Diceros bicornis minor: one gene and its partners. The protein of the gene in region 4 interacts with the protein of the main gene of each other region in a biochemical or structural test. Links are inferred from orthologs where the notes say so. Each region holds a gene or a part of one and is shown on either strand. Other genes may lie near its edges. The genes, in order: JAM2, CLDN8, CLDN2 and TJP1.

Region 1 (6,981 bases), on a different chromosome or scaffold from region 4:
AGACGTGTGGGTACCTTGGGTACCCAATACTTGCAATTGGAGTCTGAAATGAAGGTAGAGTTGTGGGACTAAGCCCTTAACCTACTGGGTATGCACTAATTCTGGGTAGTTAGCATCAGAATTGAACTGAATTATAAAACACCTACATGGTGTTTGGAAAGTGGAAGAATTGTTTGGAGTGAGGGGGAAAAAAACCCATACATTTAGTGTCAGAAGTGCTGACGGTAGAAACAGATCATATATGCTAGGAGTATGTTCAGTTTTGTAAGAAACTGCCAAACTGTCTTCCAAAGCAGCTGTGCCATTTTGTATTCTCACAGTTCCTTTTGCTCCACACCCTTGCCAGCATTTGGTGGTGTTGGTGTTGTCAGTGTTCTGTGTTTTGGTCATTCTAATAGGTATATAGTGGTATCTCATTGTCGTTTTAATTTGCATTTCCTTGAAGACATATAATGTGGAGCCTCTTTTCATGTGCTTACTTGCCATCTATATATCTTCTTTGGTGAGGTGTCTGTTAAGGTCTTTAGCCAATTTTTTAATCAGATTTATTTTCTTATTGTTGAGTTTTAAGGGTTTTTTGTATATTTTGGATAACAGTCTTTTATCATATATATATATATTTTTTTTTTTTTTGCAAATATTTTCTCCCAGTCTGTGGCTTGTCTTCTAATTCTCTTGAAATTGTCCTTCACAGAGCAGAAGTTTTTAATTTTAATGAAGTCCAGTTTACCAATTCTTTCTTTCATGGATCATGCCTTTGGTGTGGTATCTAAAAAGTCATCACCAAACCCAAGATCATCTAGATTTTCTCCTACGTTATCTTCTAGGAGTTTATAGTTTTGCATTTTACATTTCGGTCTATGATTCATTTTGAGTTAATTTTTGTGAAAAGTGTAAGATCTGTGTCTAGATTCACTCTTTTTGCATTGGTCTTCTTCCTACCTCTTATTGGATTTATTTCCTTGGATTTATCTCCACATAAATATTCACTTCTTTTTCTGATTGATCTCCTTCATTCACTCTCATGGCTTCTCTTGTCTTCTAGAAAGGTCCTCAAATAGTCCATAAACTATGTGCATCAGAATCAACCAGGGTGCTTGTCAGAAATACAGCTTCCCAGGTGCCCCTGAGATGGAAACTTCTGGGACTCAGAATTTTGGCATAATTTTAAGCAGAGAATCACATTTGAGGATCTCTAGGGGATTCTGAGGAGCAGAATCTTGGTAATCACTGTTCTAGGAGATGTTGATGATATCTACATTTATTTCTTGAGTCAATGCTGAGGGTTTCCTAAGCTCTAGCCCAATCTTTCTAACAGTTTGCTGGTCATCTAAGCTGATAACCCTCAGTCAACTCATCCCAAACCTGCCGGAACTATGTGTGCTCCCTATGTTTCTTATTCAGTTAATGATGCTCTGTATAACCACCCCATACATCCACCTAGGCTAGAAATCTCAGTTACCTACAACTTCTCCCTTTTCTCACATATCTAATTGATGACATCATCCTGCTGACCAGGTTTGGGAAATATCATTTGACTCTACCTGCTTCTTCATTTATCCCACTGTGACCATTTACTTCATGCCTCATCTCTGTCTCAGGACATCACAACAGTTTTCAGACTTGTCTAATATTCTGATTCTCTTATCTCGAGTCCATTCTCTACATTTCCATTTGCATCATCATCCTAAGGTGGCAATGTCTCATAGAACTTTCTGTGATGATGGAAATGCTCTACATCTGCGTTGTCCAGTAGGGTAGCCACTACCCCCATGTGGCTACTGAGAACTTCAAACGTGGCTAGTGTGACTGGAGAACAGAATTATAAATTTAATTGAATTCAAATTTATATAGCCACATGGATCTAGAGGCCACCATATTGGACAGCACAGTTTTAAAATATGGGTTTTTTCATATCCTACCTTAGTGCTTTCAAAAAGCTCTTTACCTACAGGATAAAGTCTAGAGTCTGTAGTGTAATACTGAATGACCCTCATAGTCCAACCCTCTTTTCAGTTTCTGTCACCTCTCTGCCCTTAATTCCATGTGTACCCTAGAGCTATTGAAACTTACTTTTCCTAAACAAGCCATAATTTTTACATCTCCCAGCTTTTGATCCTGCTCTTTGCTCTACCTAGAATGCCCTTCCCTTATTTCCTTCCTTTCAAAATTTGACTCCATTTTCAATGCCTAATAAAGAAAGCCCTGCACCCATCCCCAACAGAGGAACATCCCCTTATCCTTGACCTCAAACAAGCTATTTAGCATCTCTCAGCCTAGTTTTCTCATCTTTCAAGTGGGAATGATAAACTTTCTCCCTCACAGAGTTGTTGGGGGGTTAGATATTGCACAATTCAGACTCTACCACTGAGGAAGCACTCAATAAAAAACTGTTGTTACTATTTTCTGTCCTCCCGGAACACTTACCACATGGTATCAGAGGTCTTTCCAGATGGGACTCCCTCTCTCCTCAAGACTGTGAGCTCATTAACAGCAAAGACTTGATCTTGTTCACCATTGTCCGCCAGCATCCGGCACAGTGTAGCTATTTGACAAATGCCTTGACTGGGTGACAAATAAGCAACTGAGTGAATCAATTATTCACGTAGGTCTCAAAGAACAATAATTTTTTTAAAGTATGCCTTTTTTGTGTGTATCTTTAGGGAGCACCAAAAAAAGACATGCAGATGTGGCAAGAATGAGAAAAGAGGATGCCAACAACTTTTCTTGTGGAGCATTAAATCTTTCTTGTTACTGCCCAGAAAAACTGGCATATAAGCCTGTTAAATCTGTGTCCCTTCTCCTTACTTGACTGGAGTATGAACTCTAACATTTTTGCCATTTTGACTTTCCTTTCTGGGCTCCCTGGTTCCTCTGCCCCTCTCCCCACCATGGGTATTAAGCTTCCATCACTGTCACCAAGGAAACAGCGGGGATGCCTCATTCCTCACAGCTCTGCATATTTAAACTCTGGTCGCCTTTGTCCACTGAGCTAGCTAAATTGTTCCCTCGCTTGCCACTAAATCTACTGTCTTCTATACAGAACTTTATCCATTATTCTACCTCTAACAACAACAACAACAAAAAGATGTATAACAAGTTCTTCTCTTGGGAATGGCCTTTTTCTAAACCTGTCAATACTCTTGAATGCACCAGACATTTTTGGTCCCTAGGAGCAAATATAAAAATGGCCTGTTCAGCCTTTGTAGTGTGTGCAGTACAAGTGCGGGTCAATTTTAAAGCACGCAACAGAGCATTCATAATGGGTTTCCCTTTTAAAAGCACAGTAGACCAAAAATAAATCTGACGAAGGTCAGCTGTAGAGTTTTAACATGTGGAAAACTCCACAGGCGGCAGTTATGTAACTGGAAAGAAACACGATAAATATTTCACACCGTTAGATGAACTTCCAACTCTGACACGTGAAAAGCAAAGAACACAAAACACACCTTAACTCTCTCCAAGGAGCAAAAAGCTTACACTGAGAAGGGGCCAAGGCGATTGCTAAATTCTGAGACTTGCCTTCCAGCACGAGTCTTGATTGCTGTTTTTACCCCCTCGCGTCCAAGGCGCGGCCGGCGAACCCCATCCCCCCCAGAGCGCCTCCCCCGCAGCTTCGCCCGTTGGCCAGAAATTTTCCAAAAATCTCCACCCCTAGGCTGAAAATCCAGAAACAAGTTTTGTGCCAAGGAGGGGAGGAGAGGAGTTGGAGCAAGGCAAGCGGAGTTCCCCGCTCCACCGTGCCCCCCCACCCCGCCCAGCAGCCCGCGCCTCCTGCCCGGGGCTCCTCGCCCTGGGGACAGCTGGCAGCCCCCCCGCCGACCAGACACAAAGCGGCTCAATCCGAGCGGCGCGGGGGCGGGGGGACGCCCAGCCAGGGCTTTCCTTCCGCTGTTCGCCTTCTGCCTGCTCATGAGGACCCAGCTGACACCTCGTCCGGCTTCCACGACCCGCCCCCCTCTCACCCGCAACCCCCAAAAAAGAACGCCCCAGACCCCCCAGCCCCCAGCCAGGCCAGACCTGCCTCGTAGGCAGCCGGCTGAGAAGGCGCCCCTGGAAGGGGAAACTGACACCCTATCAGGGTCCGCCCTTCCCCTCCCCTCCGCTGCACGAGACTCTCCTCTCCCACCCCAGAAGTTGAGGGTCCCTCCGCCCGGCCTCCCGCGCTCCGGCCACCGGGACCCTCGAGACCCCGGGAAGATGGCGAGGAGGAGCCGCCACCGCCTCCTCCTGCTGCTGCTGCGCTACCTGGTGGTCGCCCTGGGCTGTAAGTTGCTGGGGTCCCTCCACCCTCCCGCTCTCTCCTGCTGGGACCAGCTCCCCGAAACCTCCAGCGCCTGCACGCGGCGCTCGTGGAGAGCTGTCTCCGGGGCTCTGGGCTGAGGGTCTGCCGCGGGGCATCTGACTTGGCGCCCAGCGAGCGGGCAGGCTCGAGGGCGGGAGGCTGGTGTCTTCGGTTTATTGTAAATAGCATCTGATTTTGTCATTTCTAGTTAGAGAAAATTAACGGTGCACACCAGTAGGTTCTCGTCTTCGTGCAAAGTTGGGTTAAGTTTTCAAAGACACAGGGACGTGAACAGAATGCAAAACTCACTAACGCGTTATAAGATGCTAAGATCCCAAGATGGCATCGCTCGGAGGCAGGCGCCGGCCACACTCTAAGTACCAGAGGAGGGGGCAGTGTTCGAGTTTTCTGGGCTTCCGAGGGCCCCAGTTGTGCCGGCAATACGCAGTGCACTTGTGGGGCGGGGGGTGGGGGAATTCGTGGCTGCTGTGCCAGAATTACTTTTATCCTCTCCACCTGCGCATCCACATTCAGTTAGAAAAGTCTGGTCTGGGGACTCCAGCCAGCTGCTGTGTCCTCAGGGGACGTCCGACGGGATGATTGTTAGAAAGATGCAGAAGCTGAATGATCGAGGAGCAGGCGGACGTCCCAAAGCCAATTTCACGGGATGGTTCTAAACAAGATTTTCACGGATTCTGGACTTAAGAGATTTAAAATCCTGGGAACGTTTCCTATTATTGTGTTTTCTTCGCGTTAACTTTTTAGGAAAATGGAAGAAATTACAATAGAATTTAAGCACTTAAGCAATGAAGCCCTCCTTTTTTCTTTCGGTTTTCCTTTTCTTTTTCTTTCCTTTTTTTTTTTTTTTAATAGTATGGATTATTGTTGCTATTCAAGTTCTGGTAATAAAATACTTAAAATAGCCAGATGAGTGTCTAATACTATAATCCAGTGACTTTTTCTCACGCTCTCATTGCCGAAGTGAGTATTGCTCAGCTCAAGGTGATGTGGGCATTGTCCCTCAGTGGGGGAGGAAGGTGCCAGTTGTCTCAGTGAAGGGGCGTGTGCTGACCTGTATTAGAGAAAATCAAACTAGAAAGGCAAGGTTTCACAATAAAACCATTATGCAGTTTTGAATTATCAGTTGGTATCATGATGGACACACAGGGGAAAAAATGCACTAATGCTGAAAGGCAACAAAGACGCAGGCTGAAGGAATTGTAACAAAACTACTGGGAAAGTTATGTATTCCACTGACAATCTTACGTTTCAAATAAAAAAGACTGACTTTAGTGTAGAATTGTCACTGGTTAAAAACAGAAAATGGTCTTACTCTGCTATCCCTATTTAGTAATCAAAACAGAAACAATACACCCTAAATTTGAAATTGTAGCCAAGAAACAACCAAGAGGTAAACTAAGGTTTAGATGAATGGGCAGAATAACCTCTTCTTCAAGCTTTGGGTAAATCCAAGGCATTGGCTCTTCTAACTCTCACTCCTCTAGGGGATTAATTTGGAAGTGTGTGTGGATATTTTCTATATTGTTCTTGGTATGCCAAAAGGTCTAGCATTGCAAGAATGTTTTCTTTTCGTTTTTAAAATAAATTTTTAAATTTTAGAATAGTTTAAAGAAAAATTGTGAAGATATTATGGCGAGTTCCTATATACACCACACCCACTTCCCCCATTGTTAATATTTTACATTAGTATGATATGTTTGTCACAATTAATGAACCAATATTGATACATTATTATTAAGTAAAGTCCACACTTTATTCAGATTTCCTTCATTCTTACCTAATGTCCTTTTTTGTTTTGGATCCCATCCAGGACACCACATTACACTTAGTCATCATGTCCCCTTAGCCTCCTCTTAGCTGTGACAGTGTCTCAGACTTCTCTTGTCTTTTATTACCTTGATGGGTTTGAGGAGTACTGGTGAAGTATTTTGTAGAATACCCTTAGTTGGTATTTCTCTGATGCTTTTCTCATGACTAGATTGGGTTTATGGGTTTTTTAGGAGGAAGACCACAGAAGTGTAAAGAGCTATTTTCATCACCTCATATTAAGGGTACATACTATGAACATGACCTATCACTGTTGATGTTAACCTTCATCACCTGGCTGAGGTAACTTATGTCAGGTTTATCCATAGGTCGCCCTTTCTTTCCTCTTTTCATGCTGTAATTTTTGGAAGGAAGTCACTATGTACAACCCACACTTAAGGAAGAAGAGTTATGCTCCACCTCCTTGAAGGTGTAGTATCTCTATAATTATTTGGACTTCTTCTGCTTGGGAGATGTGTCTTTCCCTCCTTCCCCAATCATTCATTCATTCAGCCATTCATTTTTATATCAGTATGGGCTCATGAATATTTATTTTATACTTTGGATTATAGTCCAATACTATTTTATTTAGTTTATTGCACAGATTGTTCCAGCTTTGACCATTGGGAGTTCTTTCAGTGGTTCCTATGTTCCCGTGACATATCCCCATCATGTATATATGCATTTTAGTTTTTGTTTGTTTTTAGCACTTCCTTACTTTTTGGCACTATAAAATGCTCCCAACGGATCTTGCATATTTCCTGCTCTAGTCCTAGAATCAGCCATATCTCCAAGGAGCCCTAGTTCCTTTTATTGGAGAATGGTGTTGGAAACCAAGATCTGGACACTAGGTGTGCTCATTGCTATTA
Region 2 (5,712 bases), on a different chromosome or scaffold from region 4:
GCAAATTCCAGCTCCTTTAAAAAAATTTCCCAAATTATTACAATTAGGGAAGGTTCATGTCAATTTTGTGCATAGAAATTACTTGTTAATTTAAAGAAAATAATATCACAGTATATAGCTTAATTTTTTAAAAAGTTATTTCCCTGGATTTCCAGTCCTTTAGGGGGAATATCAATTACACTGCACTCAATAAAGCATGCAGACCTATCTCCCAAAATATGTCAGAATTCACCACAACTCAGATTTTAATTTTAAAAAGTACAATGAAAAGTAGAAGAAAGACAAAATCATTTCAATAACCATTATTCCTATTGTCTATTTATATTCACTATTTTTTTTTTCATCCTGGAAAAAAGATGACTCCTGAGGCAATAATAGACCCTTCAGAATTATGTGAACTTAATTGCTCGGATTTGTTGGTAGCTAGATGTTATGGATAGCATGTTTGTGTCGCCCCAAAATTCATATGTTGAAACCCTAACCCTCAATGTGATGGTATTTGGAGGTGGGGTTTCTGGGAGGTAATTAGATTTAGACGAGGTCATGAGAGTGGAGCTCTTCTGATGGGATTAGCGTCCATATAGGAAGAGAAAGAGAATAGAGCTCTCTCACTCTCTTTCTGTGCCATGTGGGGGCACAGCAAGAAGACCGCAAACCAGAAAGAGGGCTCCCACCAGAACTCTTCCATCTGGCCCCCTGATTTCAGACTTCCCAGCCCCCAGACTGTGAAAAATTAATTTCTGTTGTTTAAGCCACCCAGTCTATTGTATTTTGTTAAAGCAGCCTGAACTGGCTAAGACACTAGACAGCTACTGTACAGGAAGGAGTTCATTTTTAAGCAAAGCAATTGAGTGTAAATTTTAGAGAGGTGGGATTGTGGAGGACTGCTAATGGATACAGAACTTTAAGAAGAGAGAACACGAACAGCTAATCATCATGCAGGACAAATAGGATAGTAGTTGAAGAACATGTAGCAATGCACAATATTGTTTTGGGAACAACAAACAAAGAGATCTATTGATGTGTTCACTTGTTTTCTTAGGACAAGATGGTCAGCCAAGTACAGTTTATTTACAGTGAAAAATAATTAAAAATAAATACAGGGTGAAAATTGTCAACACAAGAAAGAAAATTAAGTACAAAAACAAATCCAGAAAACAATAGAAATTGGCAACTGCTTGACTGGCAGAAGCAAAGATTATTTCAAGTAGTGATAAGAATTAATAGGAACCCCAGACTAAAGCGTTGTTGGTTAGGATTAATTGCTGTAAGAATAACGATGACAAAAACAAGGGCATCCTGACAGTGACATTGTATGTTTTCATTTTTAAAAAGAAAGCATTTGCATGTGTTATGTAGTTATCAGACCATTTAATTTAGTAAACTTAATTGCTAAATTTAAATCATCCTTCTGATAATGTAGACGAAGGGAGATTTCCAGAGTGAATACAGTGGGTCAACATGAACATGCTTTTTTCTTTCTTGGGTTCTTGGTAATATTTTGGTTCTTCCATAGAAATGCAAGTACAAATTATAGAAAAATCTGTGCAGGTTCCTCTGTGCTCTGTAGTTTTGAATTAAAGAACAGTAAAAATGTTATTAATTTCCTAATTCTCTAACCATTACTGCTATTTGAATTTTGCAGGCAAGTGAATCATCTTAGTAGGAATGTAGTATTATAGAAAAGTAGGTAAACAGTTAACTTGACTTATTTATTTATTTATTTTTTGGTGAGGAAGATCAGCCTCGAGCTAACATCCATGTCAATCCTACTCTCTTTTTTTTTTTGCCGAGGAAGACTGGCCCTGGGCTAATCTCTGTGCCCGTCTTCCTCTACTTTGTATGGGAGGCCGCCACAGCATGGCCGGCGAAGCGGTGCGTCAGTGCACACCGGGGATCCAAACCTGGGCCGCCAGCAGCTGAGCGCGCTCACTTAACCACTGAGCCATGGGACGGGCCCCGTAAATTGACTTTTTAATCTCTGAATTTAGGCCTTTCGGGCCCTAGTAAACTTGGTATTACCATTTTTCCCTGTCTTTCTCATTTCCAGTGATCTTTAGAGCACAGTTAATTTCAAAATATCACGGGATTAAATGGATCACTGTGCGATAAGAAACAAACCTGGGTGCCCTGGGGTTAACTGGATCCTTGTCTGATAAGAATCCTACCTGGATGCCCTGGGCTAGTTTCTGCAAGGGCAGCTAACTCTATAATTATTCCAATGTGAAACTTGGGTTAGCTTCTCATTCCGATCCTAATCTTTTGGTGGGGACAATTCCAGTGGTAAAGTACTAATATTTTTGAAATGAGGAAAATATTTTTGTGTGAAATAAGGTCCTGGTAAACCTCAGCGCTTAAGGAAAGAGTGTTGGTGGTACATGAAGCCAACAGACGCGTCAATGCACACCTGGGAGGCAGTTTCCAGGAAGGCCAAGATCTCAAGTACGTAGATACCTATTTGTCTCAAATTTTCCCATTTTTATCTGGATATTCAGCAATATGTAAACAAAGCTCCTAAAAAACATGTCACACACAAATTTTGGAAAGAAGTTGCAATTTTATTTTCAACAAACGTATATTTTTTAAATTTGTCGTTATCTCAACCAGTCATGTCATTTCTTTTTCATTTTCCAATTCTGGCAGTCATTCCCCTTTCCCAGGTTAGCAATTAAAGATAAAGAAAAAAACGTGCTGTTTTGATTGCAACTCTCCTTTGGTGGATACAGATTATTTTTCCAAGGTTAACCTATTTCCCTCTCCACCACAAATCTGTGCCAATACAAGCCTGAGGGAGAAGATGCTATTTTCTGTCAGCATTAGGGACATGCTGTAGGTTAGTTCTTAACAGTTCAATGAATGAGGAAATTACTGTAAATATCAAGTTTTAATTTTTTCTTACTTTCAATATGTCCAGTCTAATAAAATAATAACAACTTGGACTACTATACATTCCTGTTTTTTTTTCAGAAGACAGTTTACTTTGGCATCTTCCTCTTTCCCTCCCTAACACGTACCATTTTTGTTTTCATAACCTCTATAAACCACTCACATTTTTTGGACCATTAAACTTTCAAAGTTTAATAAGTGAGAGGGAAGCACTTTCTCCCATACTCACATTTAAGGTGGTACAGGAAGCAGAGAGGAAGTAAAATTGTAAAGAAGAGATCATATTTAAAATGTAAAGATGAAAGGAAATTATTAAAGTACAGCTTGAAGTTTAGAAAGACAGGACAGAGCACTCGAGGTGATGATCTCCAGAAGAAAAGTGCTAGTGGAGTACTGTTTTCCCAAAACAACGTGTATGTTTATTTTGGCACCATGGTGTCATCATCATTATTTTGAGAAGAGACAGTTCAAATTGCAATACCCTTGGGGGCTTCTATCACTTCCTGCAGACATAGTAGTAAAGACAAGTTTAGCTAAAACCTAATATAATTCAATTCAATGAATGTAGTTACCTTGTCTTGTAAATGTTTTATTTAGAAATATCAGTCATTTCTATAGACCAGGACTCTTGTACCATTTGCAGAATTCTAGTTGCTTCTAGAAATTCAGAGAAAGACAGAGCAGCAAAGATAGAGCCACAAAATATACCAACAATCTGTAAATCACTTTATCATTTAATTGCTATTGTGAGTGCTTGCTACATAAGAAAATCATATGGATTCTTTTTGTAGTTTGGCAAACTTTTTTCTTACAAATCAAGATTATCAGAAAAATACCAACAAGTAGTTTTCCTGGCTCAAAACAAAACAATATGTGTTTGGTGCCATGGAGGAGGACAACTTTGTGTATTTAATTACTTTAGCCTTATTTTGTCCTCTGGCATGATCTGTTCCCTGTTTTCACCCCAGTTGAGCTTGCTTTAAAGTTGTAGACAAATTAAATCACCCACTGGGATCATATGTGTCCCAAAGAATGTGGTTTCCCAGGTCTGAGCAAATCTATCAACCCCCTACTCTCCTTTCACTTTGGCATTTTGACAGTCCTAGTAAATTTCTTAGGCAGATATTTTATTTTATATCTTGGTCACAGCAGCTCTTACTGAGTTTCACAATTGCTCGAACAAGGTGCACCTTTCACATCACAAGGGATTGGTGCATTTCTTAATGATTGTGCAAACATTCATAATTATGCCTGCAGGGAAACGTACTGCTGTCCTCTTGGAAAACTGAGAAGTACAAAGAATGTTTATGTGCAGGTCCAGCCGTTCCAAGTATCTCTTGTCAGTTTAGACACACTTGAGTTACCATCCCCCTCTTATTGGCTGAGAAAGTTGCCCCACCTGATTTGTAAGTTTACCTGTCCTAGTCAACAGGGGGGGCACCTCAGCCAGCCAACACTGGATTTAATCTAGCTAGAAGTAGCAAAGCAGCTCTTATTTGAAAAACCACTGAGTTCTGAGTTCATTACTACAGGAAAACTGTTCTCTCCTGGGGCACAGAGAATCTTGCTTCAGAACCAGCCTACCGGCTCAGGAATCCAGTCGGATAAAACCCATCCTGGAGGATAATGGCTACCTATGTCCTGCAAATCGCCGGCCTGGTGCTTGGTGGTGTTGGCATGGTGGGCACGGTGGCTGTAACCATCATGCCTCAGTGGAGAGTGTCTGCCTTCATTGAAAGCAACATTGTGGTTTTTGAAAACCTCTGGGAAGGACTGTGGATGAATTGCATGCGGCACGCTAACATCAGAATGCAGTGCAAAGTCTACGATTCCCTGCTGGCTCTCTCTCCGGACCTACAGGCATCCAGAGGACTCATGTGTACGGCTTGCGTGCTGGCCTTCCTGGCTTTCATGATGGCCATCCTTGGCATGAAGTGTACCAGGTGCACTGGGGACGACGAGAAGGTGAAGGGTTACATCTTGCTAACAGCTGGAATCGTCTTCATCATCACAGGCATCGTGGTGCTCATCCCTGTGAGCTGGGTTGCCAATACCATCATCAGAGATTTCTACAACCCAATAGTGGATGTTGCCCAGAAACGTGAGCTTGGAGAAGCCCTCTACATAGGCTGGACCACAGCGCTGGTGCTGATTGCTGGAGGGGCACTGTTCTGTTCTGTTTCTTGTTGCGATGAAAAGACCAGTAGCTACAGATACTCCATACCTTCCCATCGCACAACCCAAAAAAGCTACCACATGGAGAAGAAGTCACCAAGCGTGTACTCCAAAAGTCAGTATGTGTAGTTGTGTACATTTTCTAACTTTACCTATAAAACCACGCAGATGACTAAAATGTCCACTATTTTCTACAAATGGAACCCAAAGGAACATTGATTTGCCGTTCTTAACTGCCTAACATTAATCACAGGAACGGTGCACGAGCTATTTATGATTCTCTAACCTATTTCAGCAGAATGAGATATTACACACACTGCTTTGATTGTTCTAGGAAGTACAGTAATTTGATTTCTAAAATGGTGCATGCATCTTTTCCCTTTATCAGTTACTTCAAAATGACATGGTTAAAGACTATTATTTTACAACCATGATTTCTCTATGACACGGCATTATGTATGTAGATGAGAGTGGCGTTTATATCTCGCATAAATAGAAACAGGCTTGTATGCTTCTATTTTAAATGAAATACTGATCCATTAAACTGAATAAATAGAATTCAACTATTGCTTTTCTGGGGAATCGGGGATAAGATTGAAGAAGGTTAACATTAATTGTTTAAAAACAGCTTAGTGTTTAATGCACTTGATT
Region 3 (7,506 bases), on a different chromosome or scaffold from region 4:
CAATAACCCTCTTCTCTAACTACATATCTTTGTGAGGCTGGATTTTCTTCATATACTTTAACCAAAACAACATATTGCAACAGATTGAATGCAAGAGCAGATGTGAGAATCCAGCTGCTTTTATTCAGATACTCAGACACTAAAGAGATTTGCAGAAATGTAATACAATGCCACTTTTCTTGCTAATTTTTTTGTTTTGGAAAATAGTCATTTTTAATAAATATATGTTATATATTTTAACATGCAATGGGTTTATCATTGTGATTTTAAATTAAAAAATGAATAGTTTTAAAATTTATCAGTTTTAATTTCTAATATGTTAAATGTTGATATAACCCATAAAAATGAAAGCCCTTTGGAGTCTTCAATAATTTTTTAACGATATCTTTTATTTATTTATTTATTTATTTATTTATTGCGGGGAGGACCAGCCCTGAGCTAACATCCAATGCCAATCCTCCTCTTTTTTGCTGAGGAAGACTGGCCCTGGGCTAACATCCATGCCCATCTTCCTCTACTTTATACGGGACGCCGCCACAGCATGGCTTAACAAGCGGTGCGTCGGTGCGCGCCCGGGATCCGAACCGGCAAACCCCGGGCCTCCGCAGAGGAGCGCGCGCATTTAACCACTTGCGCCACCGGGCCGGCCCCTATTTATTTATTTTTAAATATGCATACAGGTCATTTGAATAATCTGTGTGACACAATGTGGAAGGATGCATAAAATTCATTCTTTTGGGTATACAGTTTCATGAATTTTGACAAATGCATAGAGTTATGCAGCAATTATTACAGTTCCAACATCCCAAATAATTCCCTGTGCCACACTATTATAGCCAACCCCTTCTCCTACTCCCAACCCCTGGCAACCACTAATCTGTTCTCCATCCCTATAGTCTTGTCATTTCAAGAATGCCATATAAATGGAATCCTACAGTAATCAGCCTTTTGAATTTGGCTTCTTTCGCATAGCATAATACACTTGAGCTTCATCTGTGTAGTTGCCTGTATCAATAGCACACTCCTTTTTATTGCTGAGTAGTATTCCATTGTACAGATGTGCCACAGTTTGTTTACCCATTCACTAGTTGAAGAACATTGGATTGTTTCCTAAATAATTTTTAAAACTGTAAAGTGGTCCTGAGACCACAGATTTTGAGAGACGATGGTAATGGGGGGACATTGGAAACCAATAGATGGATGAAAGAGCCATATATTGAAGGTAGGATTGGAAGGATTTACAGATCAGATGAGATGGGGTGTGGAGGGTCAGAGAAAGAGAAAAGAGTGAAATTAAGTCTAATTCTGAAGTTTCTGGCTTAAACAACTGGATTTCTCAAATAGAGAAGACTGAGGGAAGGTTGGTTTTAGTTCAAAGAGAATCAAGGATGCAATTTTGGACATGTTCAGTTTGAGATGCTTTTGAGCTATCAAAATGGAGATGTCAGTATATAGAGGTCTGAATTTAAGAGGGGAAGGCTGGGCTGAAAATGATAATTTGGAAGTCATCAGAGTATACAGGGTAATTGAAACCATGAAAGATAAAAGAAACTTCTGAGAGTAGGAATGCAGTGTGAAAAGACCTGGGTCAGGCTCCTGAGAAACACCTATATTTAAGGATCTGGCAGAGGAGGAGGAGTCAATGAAGAAGTAGCCAGAGAGATAGGAGGAACACCAGGGGAGAGTTGTATCACAGAGGCCAAGAGAAGAAAACATTTCAAGAAGGGCAAAGGTATTGGGGGCATTGAATGCTGCATGGAGCTCAAAGAAGTTAAAGACTGAAAAGTGGCCATTGGATTTGGTGACATGGGGGTCATTCGTGACTTTGACAAGAACTTCTTGGTTTGGTGGAATTATGGGATGGAATGTCTCTAATCCTCTCTCTGACCTGGACCCTAACTCCTTCTCCAATAGTCCTCTCATCCCTGGCCCTTTGCCCCTAAAATTGCTCTTATTTCTCCTTCTAGACTTTTCTTTTCTTGGCACCATCTCTTCTCTCTCCCTCAATACTCTGCTTTATACAGACCTCTCTTAGATTTTCTTCCTCAAAGCCCCTTCTTCTCCTGCTCTCTTCCCTAACCCATCTCTTCCCAGACCCACATTTTCCTCGCTTTATTCTCCTTAACCAGATACTGCTTTTCTCAGACTGCTATTCTTTCCTCTCTTCTTTCAGACCCCTCTCCATTCCCCTACCTATCTAGGCTCTCTGGATTTCAGCAGGGGTCTTAGCAGATTACTAAGGTGCCTCCTAGGCTCAACACTGAGGAGTCATAGTCTTTGGCACGATTCCACCAGGATCCAACAGTACCGACCTGTAGGAAACACAGTGTTAGAACCTAGTCCTTGAGTGACTGCCAATCTGGTAACCACATCCTGCCAACACAGTGCCCTCATCCGCCCTGGCACCTGCCCCTAAGATTCTGCCTTTTCCTGCCCTCAATTGCACAGAGTCACTGTGAGCTGATGAGGTGCTCCTCTACTACAAATTCTATCTTGCACTCAACCAGCATTTTCTACTTGTCAAAATGCTTTCATATTCATTAGCCTAGCCTTGGAAGGTCAGTTGGGTGAAGCCTGAAGAAAGATGTGAAGACTTGCCCCAGGTCACACAGCTGGTTAGAGGATTAGCCTGCTATCCCTCTCACCCCTTCAGTCTTGCTTGCTTTTATTTCCAAAGACTCCCCAGGCCTGATCGCAGGCATGACTGCCCCTTTAGACTGTCCCAGCCTGCCAAGGAGTAGCATCCTGGAGAGACTCCTGCTCAAGAGCATTGCCAGGGATCAGGGACCCCATTCGCACCTGCAAGACAGTTATGAGCCACCTTGGGAAGGAGGATGATTTCTGATTTGCTTCACTGAATTCAAACTAGGCAACAAATCTGTTTGCTTTGATATTACTTCAAAAACGGAGTAGAGCATAATGATTAAGAGCCAAGCTTCAGAGTTGGCCAGGTTTGGTGGCCAGGCCTGGCTCTGCTCTTCAGTAGCTCAGTGAGACAATGTATATGAAAACCCTCAGCACAGTACGTGACACCCAGAAAGTGTTCAATGAATAGTGGGCCTTATCATTTTTACATAGGAGTCCTTGGGACAGAGTCAATGTGGTACACAGGAAAGTTTACTGAACCAGACACCCAGAGGCCTAGATTTCAGGCCTAACTCCTACTGCTCAACTTGTGATGCTGGGTAATTCATTCATTTCGTCTCATTGGGCATAGGCTTTCTCATCTGGAAATGGTAATAGCTGCTCTTCTTTTGTATTATGTTGTATTAGCCTTTAAAGCATTCATACTCTTTGACCTAGCAATTCTGTTCCTAAAATTTGTCAGTATTATGTGCAAAGAAGCCAGGTTATAGTAGTGAAAAAATGGAAATAACAAAAATATCTAATAGTTAATGGCTAAATATATTTTATGTGATAGAAGACAATGCAGCCATAAGAGAATGATGCAAATCCATTTTTTAATTGACATGGAAATAGGGCCATGTCAATGGACCATGTCAATGTCATATCATTACATTATTTAGAAATGATAGAAGGTTACAAAATTGTACGGTATAACATGATTCAATTTTGTAAGAAATATTTCTATTCATGTCTTCTACGGTATAGCAAAATGTTAACAATGATTAACATTATACCTATTGGTGGCAGTATTATGAGGACCTCTACTTTCTTCTTTATTTTCTGAATTTTTTGCAATAGCATCTAGTATGTTTCTAATCAGAAAAAAAGCAGGAAAGTTTTTTTTTTTTTTTCCATTTGGAGAGCAAACCCAATCGCTGCACTCCATTCCACAGAACTTTTGAGAGACTCAGATGACATACAGTATGGTACTGCTGCGTGTGGTACAAAGAGGAGGCCCACAATTACCACGGCCATCTCAGTCCCACCTTGTAGGGACCTGCTCTTTGAAGTCACACGGGTCTGAACCTATAGTATACATATTTTCCCTTGCACCTTGGGGTCAACCTTAGGGGTGGGGAGAGCTAGGGGCTTGTTGGAGAACAAAGCTGGATGGAAGAGTCCGTGGGGCTGTAGGCAGTGCAGGGCTGCTTGGGCACTAGCTCGTCAGGGCTGTGCTTACGAGGCTTATTTCCTGCTGGGCCTCAGAACTGCTAGCCAGGGACACCTAATGGGCATAACAGAGCTCCCTCCTCTCCCCACCCCCAAAGCTAGAATGTTCCGAATTCCTCCTTGGACCAAACCCTTCTCCTCCCAAGGTCACCACACAAAAGCTCAGCTGGAGTTTCTGACAGGAAAAACACAAAACTCACCAAACTTTTTTTTTTAAGTACCTCAATCTTCCACAGCCTCCAGGGGTTTAATTCTGATCTGTAATAAGTCTCTGACCCAAGGCTGAGATTTGCAGATGGATTTTGCAAAGCTGTGGCTAACAATTAGAAATACTTTATCACCTCGGCTGGGGCCCCTTGCACCTTGCTGCCCTCCCTCAGGATCCCTTCCTCCCTCTCCAGGGCTATACATCTCCTCTAAGGCTCTGCAAAAGAACTGCTTCGTAAGTGTCTCAATTCTGATTTATTTGCTGTCTTTTAAATTCACCTGTGGGCTCTTGCTCCCTAGTTGCTCTCAATTTGGCCCATGGCGCAGCCAGGCTGGGGCACCTTGGGTTTCTGAGGGAAGAGCACAGGAGGGAAAATTCAGGTAGCACTTGGGTTGGTAGTATTTGTTTCCTCAAGGCTACCACCAAGTTTCCAGTCTTTGAAACTACAGCGCCAGAGGAAGCACTCTCCAAATCAGATAATAATTTTCGAATGGAGCTTTTGAGGGCGAAAGGACTGAGATAAAAGGATGGGAGGAAAGGAACTATAGTTTACCCCTCTAACTGTGGGGGGCTGAGGAAGACTTGTCCCTGCGCTTCCTCACATCCAGCTCCAGTGCCTTCCTCGGCATGAAGGCTCAGGGAGTCAGGAGAAGGTAGATTTCTGAGTCAAGTCATAAAGTCTCCCCCTCAAGCCCTTAAATAATTTTCCCCTGCTGTTCTGCAAGTCTGTCATTAGAAATTCCTTCCTTGAAGGAAATCCTGCCATTTACAACGACATGGATGGAACTGGAGGACATTATGCTAAGTGAAATGTCAGACAGAGAAAGACAAATACTGTATGATATTACTTATATGTGGAATCTAAAAAAACAAAACAAAAGAGACAAACTCATAGACACAGAGAACAGGTTGGTGGTTGCCAGAGGTAGAGATGGGGGATGGATGAAATGAGTGAAGGGGGTCAAAAGGTACAAACTTCCAGTTATAAGACAAATCCTGGGAATGTGATGTACAGCATGGTGACTATAGTTAATAATACTGTATTGTATATTTGAAATTTGCTAAGAGAGTAGATCTTAAAAGTTCTCATCACAAGAAAAAAATTGTAACTGTGTGGTAATGGATGTTAACTAGACTTATTGTGGTGATCCTTTTGCAATATATACAAATATCAAATCATTATGTTGTACACCTGAAACTAATACAATGTTATGTGTCAATTATATCTCCATAATAAAAAGAAATTTCTTCTTTGGACTGAGACATTATTCTCTTCAAGTGTCCTCTTTGAAAATGGAATTGGAACCAAAACATTAACAGCACTTATAGCTGGGGATATTGTAGGTGATGTCTGTTTTCTAAATTCTGCCTTTCTGTGTTTTCTAGTGTTCTAAAGTGAGAGTGCTTTACTTTGATGATCAGGCCAAAAATAAACTTTTTTTAAAAGCAATTAGAAAATCTCTCAATCCAGTTGTAGTTCCCTGAGCTGTCATCACTTAACTGCTGCAGAAGGAAAGGTGAACTGCTCCAAGGACAAAATTTCCAGAAAGTAGGGCTTTTAAGGGAATGGCTGTGCCACCTACTAGAGCCCTCAGCAGCTGGAGGTGAGGTACAGAGAGGAGAGCAGGTATTTCAGATTCCTATGAGGGGCTGTGAGATCAAGGAATGGAGGAATGAGGCTGACGGACAGAAGAGGGCTGTGATGGCCTCCAACACCCACAGGATGCCACATCAGGTCCTTCCTTGAGCATGAGAACCCCACCTCTCCTGTCCTACTCAGTCTTATGAGGATGCCCCCACAGAAGAGGTACCATGCTCAAGACTCTTGGAGCAAGAAATAAGGAGCCTAGCAGGGCAAGTACCCAGGCAAGAAGGGGTTAATTCAGGAGCTGCTCTCAGGCTTGACCCTCCTAATCTTCTCCTGCAGTTCCAATCCCTCCCCTAAGGAAGATTAGGTACAGATCCTAAATGAAGCCTTCTTGCCTAGCCCTTGGGCCATGGAGTGTGTTGGCCCCATGCCCAGAAGACAAATTCAGCTGGCAAGGCCTAGAGTTCTCTGTTCTTCCAAAGCAGCCAGGGCTTGACTTCTAGGAGGATCCCTCAAAGAGAGGAGTTTCTTTAAAACCTGCCTGCTTCTAATAGCTATTCAGTCTTCTATATTTGTCAAAGTGGTTTCCTGTCCCCATTACCTTATTTGAGACTCAAAACCTTGGAGATGAGCAAACTAGGGCCTGGAGAAGTTAAGGGACTTCCTCAAAAGGTTCCAGGCAGAACTAAGATGAGAAGCTAGTTTTTTGATTCTCAGGCCAGGATTCTTTCTCTAAACCTTCTACAGCTCATTGCAGAAACAAAAGCAGAATCTAGTCAGGCCTACCACCCAACCACTTGCTGTTTTGTTCACCACTGCCTTCCTGACCCTAGCTAAAAGCAGACCCCCATTAGGCAATTTCTCCCAATTGAATAAGCTCTAACAACTTGTTCTTCTTCCTGCCCAGCTATGCCAAATCAGGCTCTCTAGAGATCCCAAGCCTCAGTGATGGCATTTTTTTGACTCCACCTTCCCCATGGCCCAAACCACTTTCCTACTGAGTCAGGATTGGCTCTGGGGAGAGGTTCTCCTCTTGGGGACACTGTTGACCCCCATGGAAAACTCAAGCTGGGCTTTTCTGCCACCATCTCAGGAATTCTGAAGCAGGAGCTGCTCCTCTGGGAGGCAGGAGGTCTTCTCCCCAAAAACCTCAAGGAAGCTTACCAACACTCACACTCAATGCCCAGATATAGATAGGAAGTACAAAGGAAAAGTATTTAACCCAGCCTGGGTGGGAAGAGGGGTCCAAGGAAGGTTTCAAGAAGAGGATGAGTCCTGAAGGATAACTAGCAATTAGCCAAGCAAATGGTGGATGCTTAAGGGCTTGGAAACAGAGAAAAACGCAAATTCAGAGAAGTATGCACATTCAGATATGGCTGGATCGTGTGTGTGTGTGTGTGTGTGTGTATGTGTGTGTTTATGTATGTGTAGGAGCAAAAAGCATGAGGTTGGAGGTTACTGGTGGGATATGAGGCTGGGAAGAAGAGCAGAAGTCAGACAATGGAGGGCTTTCCTGGTTTTTCTGGGCTAGAGAGTTTGAACTTCATCCTGAAAGCAATTAAGAGGTCCTAAAGTTTCTAAGCATTACAAAGAGGTGGGTGGCACTTATGCTTTTCCATTTTAGAAAGATCCT
Region 4 (7,769 bases):
TTTTATATCCATTTTGCTAAACTTTGTCTTTTGTTTGGAATGTTTAGTATAGTCACATTTAACGTAATTACTGATAAGGTAGGATTTATGGATGCCGTTTTCCTATTTGTTTTCTGTATGTCTTATGTCTTTTTTTATTTCTCTGTTACTGCTTTCTTCTGTGCTATGTATTTTCTAGTGTACTCTTTTAATTTATTTATTTCTTTTTCTATATTTTAAAAAGTTATTTTCTTAATGGTTGTCCTGGGGATTACAATTAACTTCTTAACTTAAAATAATCTAGGTAAAATTAATACCAATTTAATTTCAATAGTACACCAAAACTATCCTCTAATATAGCTCCATTCTCTCCCTCCTCCTTTGTGTTATTATTGTCATACAAATTACATATTTATACATTACAAGCCCATCAACAGTTTATAATTTTTGCTGTATGCAGTTGTCTTTAAAATCAGATAGAAGAAAGAGTCTCAAGTAAAAATATTTTTTAATTAAAACATTTTTAATATTAAAAAATGTAAAAATATTTTAAAGTCTCATATATTCAATTACATAGTTGTCTTTACCAGTGTTCTTTATTTCTTTGTGTGGATTCAAGTTACTGTCTACTATCCTTTCATTTCAGCCTGAAGGACTCTTTTGGTATTTTTTGTAATGCATGTATGCTAGTGATGATTTCTCAGTTTTTGTTTATGTGAGAATGCCTTAATTTCTCCTTCATTTTTGAAGGATAGTGTTGTTGGATATAGAATTCTTGGTTAATAGTCTTTCTTTCAGCCCTTTAAATGTCTTCCCTCTGCCTTCTGATCTCCACGATTGCTGATGATAAGTCACAGGTTAATCTTATTGAGGATTCCTTGTATGTGATGAGTTTCTTTTCTCTGGCTCCTTTCAGAATTCTCTCATTGTCTTCGTCTCTCAACAGTTTGATTACTGTGTGTCTAGGTGTGGACTACCTTCAGTGTATCCTACTTGGAGTTTTTTGAGCTCCTTAAATGTGAAGATTAATATTTTTCATAAAATTTGAGAATTTTTCAGTCATTATGTCTTCAAATATTCTGTGTCCCTTTCTCTCTCTTCTTTCCTTCTGGGACTTTATCATATGTTGGTATGCTTAATGGTTTCTCATAGGTCTCTGAGGCTCTGTTCATTTTTCTTCACTGTTTGCTTTCTGTTCCTCAGACTGGATAATCTCAATTGACTTATTTTCAAGTTCACTGACTCTTACTTCTGCCATTTCAAATATGTTGTTGAGCCCTTCTAGTAAATTTTTTATTTCAGTCATTGTACTTTTCAACTCCAGAGTTTCATTATTTTTTAAAATTTCTGTCTGTTTATTTATATTATCTATTTGGTGAGACATTGTTCTCATACTTTCCTTTAGTTCTTCAGACATGGTTTTCTTTGGTGAAGATATTCATAATAGCCAATTTAAAGTCTTTGTCCAATAAATCCAATGCCTGGGCTTCCTCAAGGGCAGTTTCTATTAACTGCTTTTTTTCCCCTATATATTGGCCATATTTTTCTGTTGCTTTGCATGTCCTGTAATTTTTTGTTGGAATCTGGACATTTCGAATAATATAACGTGGCAACCCTAGAAATCATATCCTTGCCCCACTCTCCAAGGTTTGTTGGTGGTGGTGTTTCTTGTTGTGGTTGTTTTGTTCATTTAGTGACTTTGCTGGACTAATTCGGTAAAGTCTGTATTTTTGTCATGTGTGGCCACTGAAGTCTCTGCTTAGGTAGTTTAGTGGTCAGCTAATTATTGGACAGAGATTTCCTTAAATGTTTGGAACCATTAAGTCTCCCAGCCTTTGCTGAGAGGCTGTGTGTGTTGGGGGATGCCTTCAACATTCTGATAGGTAGTTTACAACTCTTCCTTAACCTTCACTTTCTGCTTGCACTGAACCTCAAGGTCACCCAGAAGCGAGAGATTAGGGCCTTCTCAGGTGTTTCCTGAGCATGTACACAGTCCTACATGTGCACATGGCATTCTGGAGTCCCAAGAATGTCGAAGTTTTTCAAGGCATCATACGGAGCCCCATTCTCCACTTTTCCTTTTAATTTTTCTGGTTAGCCGCTTGTTAGCCCCAATGGGTTTCACTGCCTCAAGCAGCTTGTGATGCTAAACAATTGTTACTGATTGTTTCTGACAAATGCCCTAGGGATAGGGCTGTTTGCACAGAGTGAGATCCTGAGCCAGCCAGGTCAAATAAAGACAAGCACTGTAAATGGAGCTTTTCAGGGTGCTGCCAACAGGTCAAATAATGACAATTATCTGAGGATAGGGCTTTTGAGGAGCTCTAAGCCCATTAGCGGCTGCTAGTCAACTGGTTTTCAATACTACTTTAGTTACGAGGCTGTTGGTTTACAAGGCTACGGCAGAGTTGGAGAGAAGGGGATGGGAACTGGGCAAGTCAAAATACTATAAAGCTCACCGTTCTAAGATTCAGTAATTTTTTTGTACAAACATTCTTTGTATTGTTGCAAGCCTTTGGTTAATTTCTGGAGTTCTGGAAAGGTTGGTTTTGACAAATTATAGCCACTGCTCACCTTTTATGGAGAAACAGATTATCTGCCATTCTGCAAGTGCTTCTACCAGTTTATTTTTATCTCTCATTATCCTGAATTGATCTCTTCAGCCTCCAGTTGTCAAAATCCTTGAGTACAGTGCAGTATTTTCATCAAATATCTTACCAGTAATATGACAAGGTGGTGCAAAAGGCCAAGCGTACATTAGAAACGGTACATACATAAGTACAGGCCCTGATATTTTTTAAAAGTACTGCTCCAAGGTCTTCTCCCATGTGTGGATATATATTTGAAGTGTCAAAGATCTTCTAATTCCTCATTTTATGTGAGAGCTAAAACTTATGGATAAATGAAAGTGAAATAGATTTAGACCTGCTTTCCTACCAAAGTGACTGTGAAATTATGTTGGGAGCCCAAACTAGGAGACTGTTTTGTTCTAATCTTACGTGCTAATTAATTTGAAAATGCAGTGTTTAAATAGAGGTACAAGAGGGATGCACTGTGGAGGGAGGGTGTTAATGTTTGATAATTCTGCCTGGTGGATGCACAGGCACTTGTTATCTGTACTCTTCATATATACATCCTATACACACACATACACACACACACACAAACAAACAGGCAGTCCTTGCTCTGCAAGTTCAGATATGCCTGATGTTAGCTACTATGGCTCAGTTAAATAATACCAGTTGCTCAACAGTATGGTTCAAATTTCAGCTATCATGGCATATTAACTGTAAGAAAATGCATATAGCGCAAACGCACGTAGTATAAACTTCGCTGCTAGCTCTTTAGTCCACAAAGCACAACACAATAACATGTGCATCATGATCAGTGACCAATCACAGTAGTTCTTTCAAAGTCTGTTAGTCATTGGTCACTGCTGCACCTGTTATTCAGTTTATGCAGCCAACTGTGCAGTTGTGTTGCCTCCTCTTCTCCCAGTGATAAACCTGTACAACATTGCATAAAAATGGGTAATTGAAAGAGGGAATTAGCCAGCAAGATGAAAGTGCAGCAAAGAAAAAACAATAAAGATGGAAATGAAGTAAAATTCGAATGGAATGTAAATGGAGTTACAGAAAAAATAGGCAACTGTGGGAATGTTGACTCTGCTGCCTTTCCAGAGACTCTAGACACGCAGCCAGAAGAACTTAGTAAATGTGAACTTGAATGAGGAAAGTGGTTGTGACAAAAAGGATGAGGATGTCCCAGAGGACGTCACATTAAAGGAACTCTCTGATATATTTCATGACATTGAAAGTACAGAGGATAAAATGCTGAAAGTGACCCAAATATGATGCTCTGCCAAGGCATAGAAAAGACGCTCTCTCAGTATATAACAATTCTACTAGCAGAAGACAAGAGCTGTGCAAGTTACTCTTAATAAGTTTTTCTTACAGAGAAATAAAACACTTTAATTCTCAATCTTTGTAATGTTCTAAGTCACACTATTAAGTGATTAGTTTTACTATTTTTTTTTTTTATTTCTCTATACATTATCTCCATCAGTGAAGAGAGTTTGGAATGTTTTGACAAAATTTTTAAAGGTCATGGAACAATCTCCATTTTTCCCAATGATTACGAAGATAGTTTCGCGTGGTTCAGGTCATTTCCACAATCCTGAACTGCCTGGCATGCAAGCGAGGACTGCATATATGTATATATATACACACATACACATATATACGCATTGTATATGTGTACGTATATACATATACATGCATTTTATATATACACCAAGTCTGCAAACACTTCAGGCTAGAACTGATGGTTACAAGCTATTAAGTGGTAATTATAAATTAAAAAATTAATTTTTTCCTCTCTGGAAGCTTGTCGTTAGGATCCCTTTGGAGCAGAAACGGTCGGAGATGAGTTCCCGTCAGCCGCCGAGGAAACTGAGGCACGCGGGGGCGCCGGGCCTGGGCGGCGCCGGTGGGCGGGGGCGGCGCCCCGGCCTCACCCCGCCGCTCCCGGAGCCGGCACACCGCCAACCCGGCCGCCTGTGAGGCCCGCGCCGCCCGCGGCTTGCGGGGTCGGAGGGGGGCGGTGCGGGAGGCGGCGGCGGGAGCGGCGGGCCACGCACGGCGGCGGCGGGAGCGGCCGGGCACGCACGGCGACGGCGGCGGCGGGAGCGGGGGTCCTGGCCACGCACGGCCGCGGTGGCGGCGGCTTCGGGAGCGGGAGCGGCGGGAGCTGTGGCGGCGGATGGCCCAGAGCTGATCTATGCGGCGCTTGGAGGGGCTGTGTCTGCGGCGCCGGCGGCGGCGGCGGCGGGGCCCTGCCCGCGAGCGGAGCGGGGACAAGATGAAGTACCAGAAATACCTGACGGTGCTGCAGATGGCCATCGGCGTCACCCCCTCCAACCGCGGCAGCCTCCTGCCGCTCAAGAGGAAGCTGTGGTGAGGGCGCGGCGGGCGCGGGGCCGCAGCCCGGACCGGGCGCGGGTTGGGGCCGGGGCCGGGGCCGGGGCGGGCCGGCGGCGGCCGGGCCCGACGGGCGCGGAGAGCGCCGGGCGCAGCAGCCATTTCGGAGCCCCCTGGGCCGAGCGCCTCGGCGTCCCGCGCTCGCACGGTCGTTTTCCGCTGCGACCCTCGGCGGTGCCCGGCGACACGCAGAGCGGCGCGCCGCGGGAGGGAGGGGCCGGAGCCGCCGGCTGACGGGCGCCCGGGCACCCACCGTCTCCCGCCGGTGTCTGTCCCTTCAGCTCCATTGCAGCGAGTTCGGGCTCGGGATTGCAAGCCAGGCTTTCTTGCAGGCAGCGAAAAATTTAGCATCACAGTATGCGTTTTCTGTTATTTCTCAAAACCCGTCTGCTCTTGGGTACCTAGTAAAGGACGAGCCGCTCCCACAGTAAGGGGAATAAGTTGCGAGATTATAATAAGGGGAATAAATTGCGAGATTATAATTGCATTATCAAGGACTATATTTTATCTGCATGTGTCTTAGTTCCTCCGACCTGGAAACTGTTATTGGGGTAACAGGAAAAGAACGCCTTTAGAGAAGAATGTCTGGACGTTATCCAGGTCAGGTTTACATAGTTGATTATCTCTCAGATTGTATTGCCTTTTATTAGTATTTAAATATGTCATATGGAATCCCAGTGGCTGCCTAGGCACTCTCTGGACTTGCGACTTAGGCGTAAGGTGCTATGACAAAAGAAATAGTCAAGTAAAGGGATGGTGACTAAAGAAAAAAGATGCCAGTGATCTTGGTATTCAGTGGTCATTTTAATTTTAAAATTTGTGGTCAATGTAGTTCATAAAGGTTTTATACAATTCAATTGAACATAGTCTAATTTAATTTTAAGGTTATAGAGAAAAGGAAGTAAGGCTGTTTTTAGGCATTTGGGGAAAGTAATTTCTGCTATATCAGACAAATGAGAAAATGATCCAAGGAATATAAAGATTGAGCACCCAAAAAAAAAGAGGAGTTAAAAAAAAAGAATCCCAAGAGTAGAGAATTTTCGAGATAAGACCAAAAAGTATAGGCAGCAAAGTTCAGATTTAGCTGTGCCACTTACTGTGTGACCTGAAGCAAGTTACTGGAGTATCTGTTTCTTCCTCTGTAAAATGAGAATGTTATCTACCTCATGGGGTCATATGCAGATCAACTGAGATAATGAATATGAAGTGCCTGCCACTATGTCTGGCTCAATAATAGATACTTAGTAAATGTTAGTGTCTTCCTCCTTACCCCCCACCTCAATTTGTTTAAAAAAAGAGAAATTTATTCTGCAAAAGGTAGTTTAACTTGATGAACAGCAACTGACAACACATCGAAGACTAGACTGGTAAAAATTGGCAGTAATTGAATTAATAAATGTCCATGGAAGAAGATTTTGCAAATATATGAAGATTATGTCGCTATTATGAAGCAAGAAACAGTAACATTTGAAGATGACTTTTCAGATTGATGGTGTACAGGAAAAATAAAAAGAGATCAGCACCAACAGTCTTATCCCCACCCTCCCACCACCATGTTTTTCTCCTGGGCACTTAGCAATATCTAACCCACTACATACTTTACTTCATTTTCATATATGTCGCCTCTCACCGCACTAGCATTTGCATGGGGACAGGGCTTTTGTCTGTTTAGTTCATTACTAAATCCCCTGCAACTAGTATCTGGTGCAAAATAGGTTCTAGAAAGACATATGTTGAATAAATGAATTCTTAATAATGCATAACTGGGAAAGAAAATTTTCTCGATGTTAAATTTAAAAACTAAGATGTCGGAATAATGTCTGAGGAGCCATTAGGCATGAATATTAGCAGCACTTGGTCACAAAGCCAGGAAACTAGATTTATTCTTTTTCATAATTGGAGTGCTACTTCTGAAAATACATTCCTCAATACAAAGTTTGTGAAGAGAGAACTTGATAAGATAAAATCCAGGTAACTTTTTTACTCTGGGGAGTCACATTTGAGGCAGGCAGTGAACTGGGGACAGGATTAACAACTGTCTTACTAGGAGACGGCCTGGGAAAGGGCAGGGGGATTTTGTTGAACTTTTCCACAATCTTAAACAAGCATTTCAGAATTTCCACTCAGCGTTAAGTGAATTTGCAAACGTTTATCTAGTTTCTACAGTGGGAAAGTGAGGAGCATACGCTACAAAAACTGTGGAGTGGGTGGTACTTTTAAACACAGATGTCACAGATGTATAATCCTTTTTTTTTTTCTTTAAGTTAGAGAATATTGTGCTGCTTGATTAATCTATCTGTTATATCCTCTGGAATTGATTTTGTAGATAACATTTCATTTCGCCAGTGTCGTAGCAACTGCACGTGGAGAATTTGACACGGAAGGCACCGTTACATGGCTAGAAGATATGAGGGTGTGGGTTCTGACTCCAGAATGGTGGGTGGGAACCAATAGCAGATATATGTCAGCAGTGTATGTCAGACCTTGAAATGCACCAGCTTATGCCCATTTACAAGATGTGAGGGTATACTATGATAATTGGTTGTGGCATATATGAAGATTTATATGAAGATGTTTATGAAAATGTGTATACTCTCTGTGTTTCTCTCTCTTTAAATTATTGCAGTCTGTGTGGAAAGACAGCATGCCTGCAAAGCTTATGCCAGTGTAAGTAAAGGGTAGGGTTGAATGATCCAGTGCTTTATCTCCACACTTCTATCTAGTTTGGCCATTTGTGCTCATCAGCTTTCCTTTGCGCAACATCTTTCTGTCTTTGTGATTGGCTCTGTAAATCCTTTAAGGAGTATTATG

What was found.
Region 1: the proteins of TJP1 (region 4) and JAM2 form a complex in vitro, tested with the Homo sapiens proteins (2 studies listed by BioGRID and IntAct, with this or other methods). The link is inferred for Diceros bicornis minor from reciprocal best matches to the Homo sapiens genes TJP1 and JAM2.
Region 2: the proteins of TJP1 (region 4) and CLDN8 form a complex in vitro, tested with the Homo sapiens proteins (2 studies listed by BioGRID and IntAct, with this or other methods). The link is inferred for Diceros bicornis minor from reciprocal best matches to the Homo sapiens genes TJP1 and CLDN8.
Region 3: the proteins of TJP1 (region 4) and CLDN2 form a complex in vitro, tested with the Homo sapiens proteins (2 studies listed by BioGRID and IntAct, with this or other methods). The link is inferred for Diceros bicornis minor from reciprocal best matches to the Homo sapiens genes TJP1 and CLDN2.

What each region holds. Positions count from the first base shown.
Region 1 is NC_080766.1:26,994,710-27,001,690, forward strand, and holds the start of JAM2 (junctional adhesion molecule B), read left to right. Parts: upstream 1-3,955; 5' UTR 3,956-4,200; coding exon 4,201-4,267; intron 4,268-6,981. UniProt on the Homo sapiens protein: Junctional adhesion protein that mediates heterotypic cell-cell interactions with its cognate receptor JAM3 to regulate different cellular processes. Plays a role in homing and mobilization of hematopoietic stem and progenitor cells within the bone marrow.
Region 2 is NC_080766.1:30,990,733-30,996,444, reverse strand, and holds CLDN8 (claudin-8), read left to right. Parts: upstream 1-4,512; coding exon 4,513-5,190; downstream 5,191-5,712.
Region 3 is NC_080781.1:99,660,664-99,668,169, forward strand, and holds the start of CLDN2 (claudin-2), read left to right. Parts: upstream 1-4,497; 5' UTR 4,498-4,519; intron 4,520-7,506. UniProt on the Homo sapiens protein: Forms paracellular channels: polymerizes in tight junction strands with cation- and water-selective channels through the strands, conveying epithelial permeability in a process known as paracellular tight junction permeability.
Region 4 is NC_080744.1:79,819,326-79,827,094, reverse strand, and holds the start of TJP1 (tight junction protein ZO-1), read left to right. Parts: upstream 1-4,741; 5' UTR 4,742-4,758; coding exon 4,759-4,934; intron 4,935-7,769. UniProt on the Homo sapiens protein: TJP1, TJP2, and TJP3 are closely related scaffolding proteins that link tight junction (TJ) transmembrane proteins such as claudins, junctional adhesion molecules, and occludin to the actin cytoskeleton.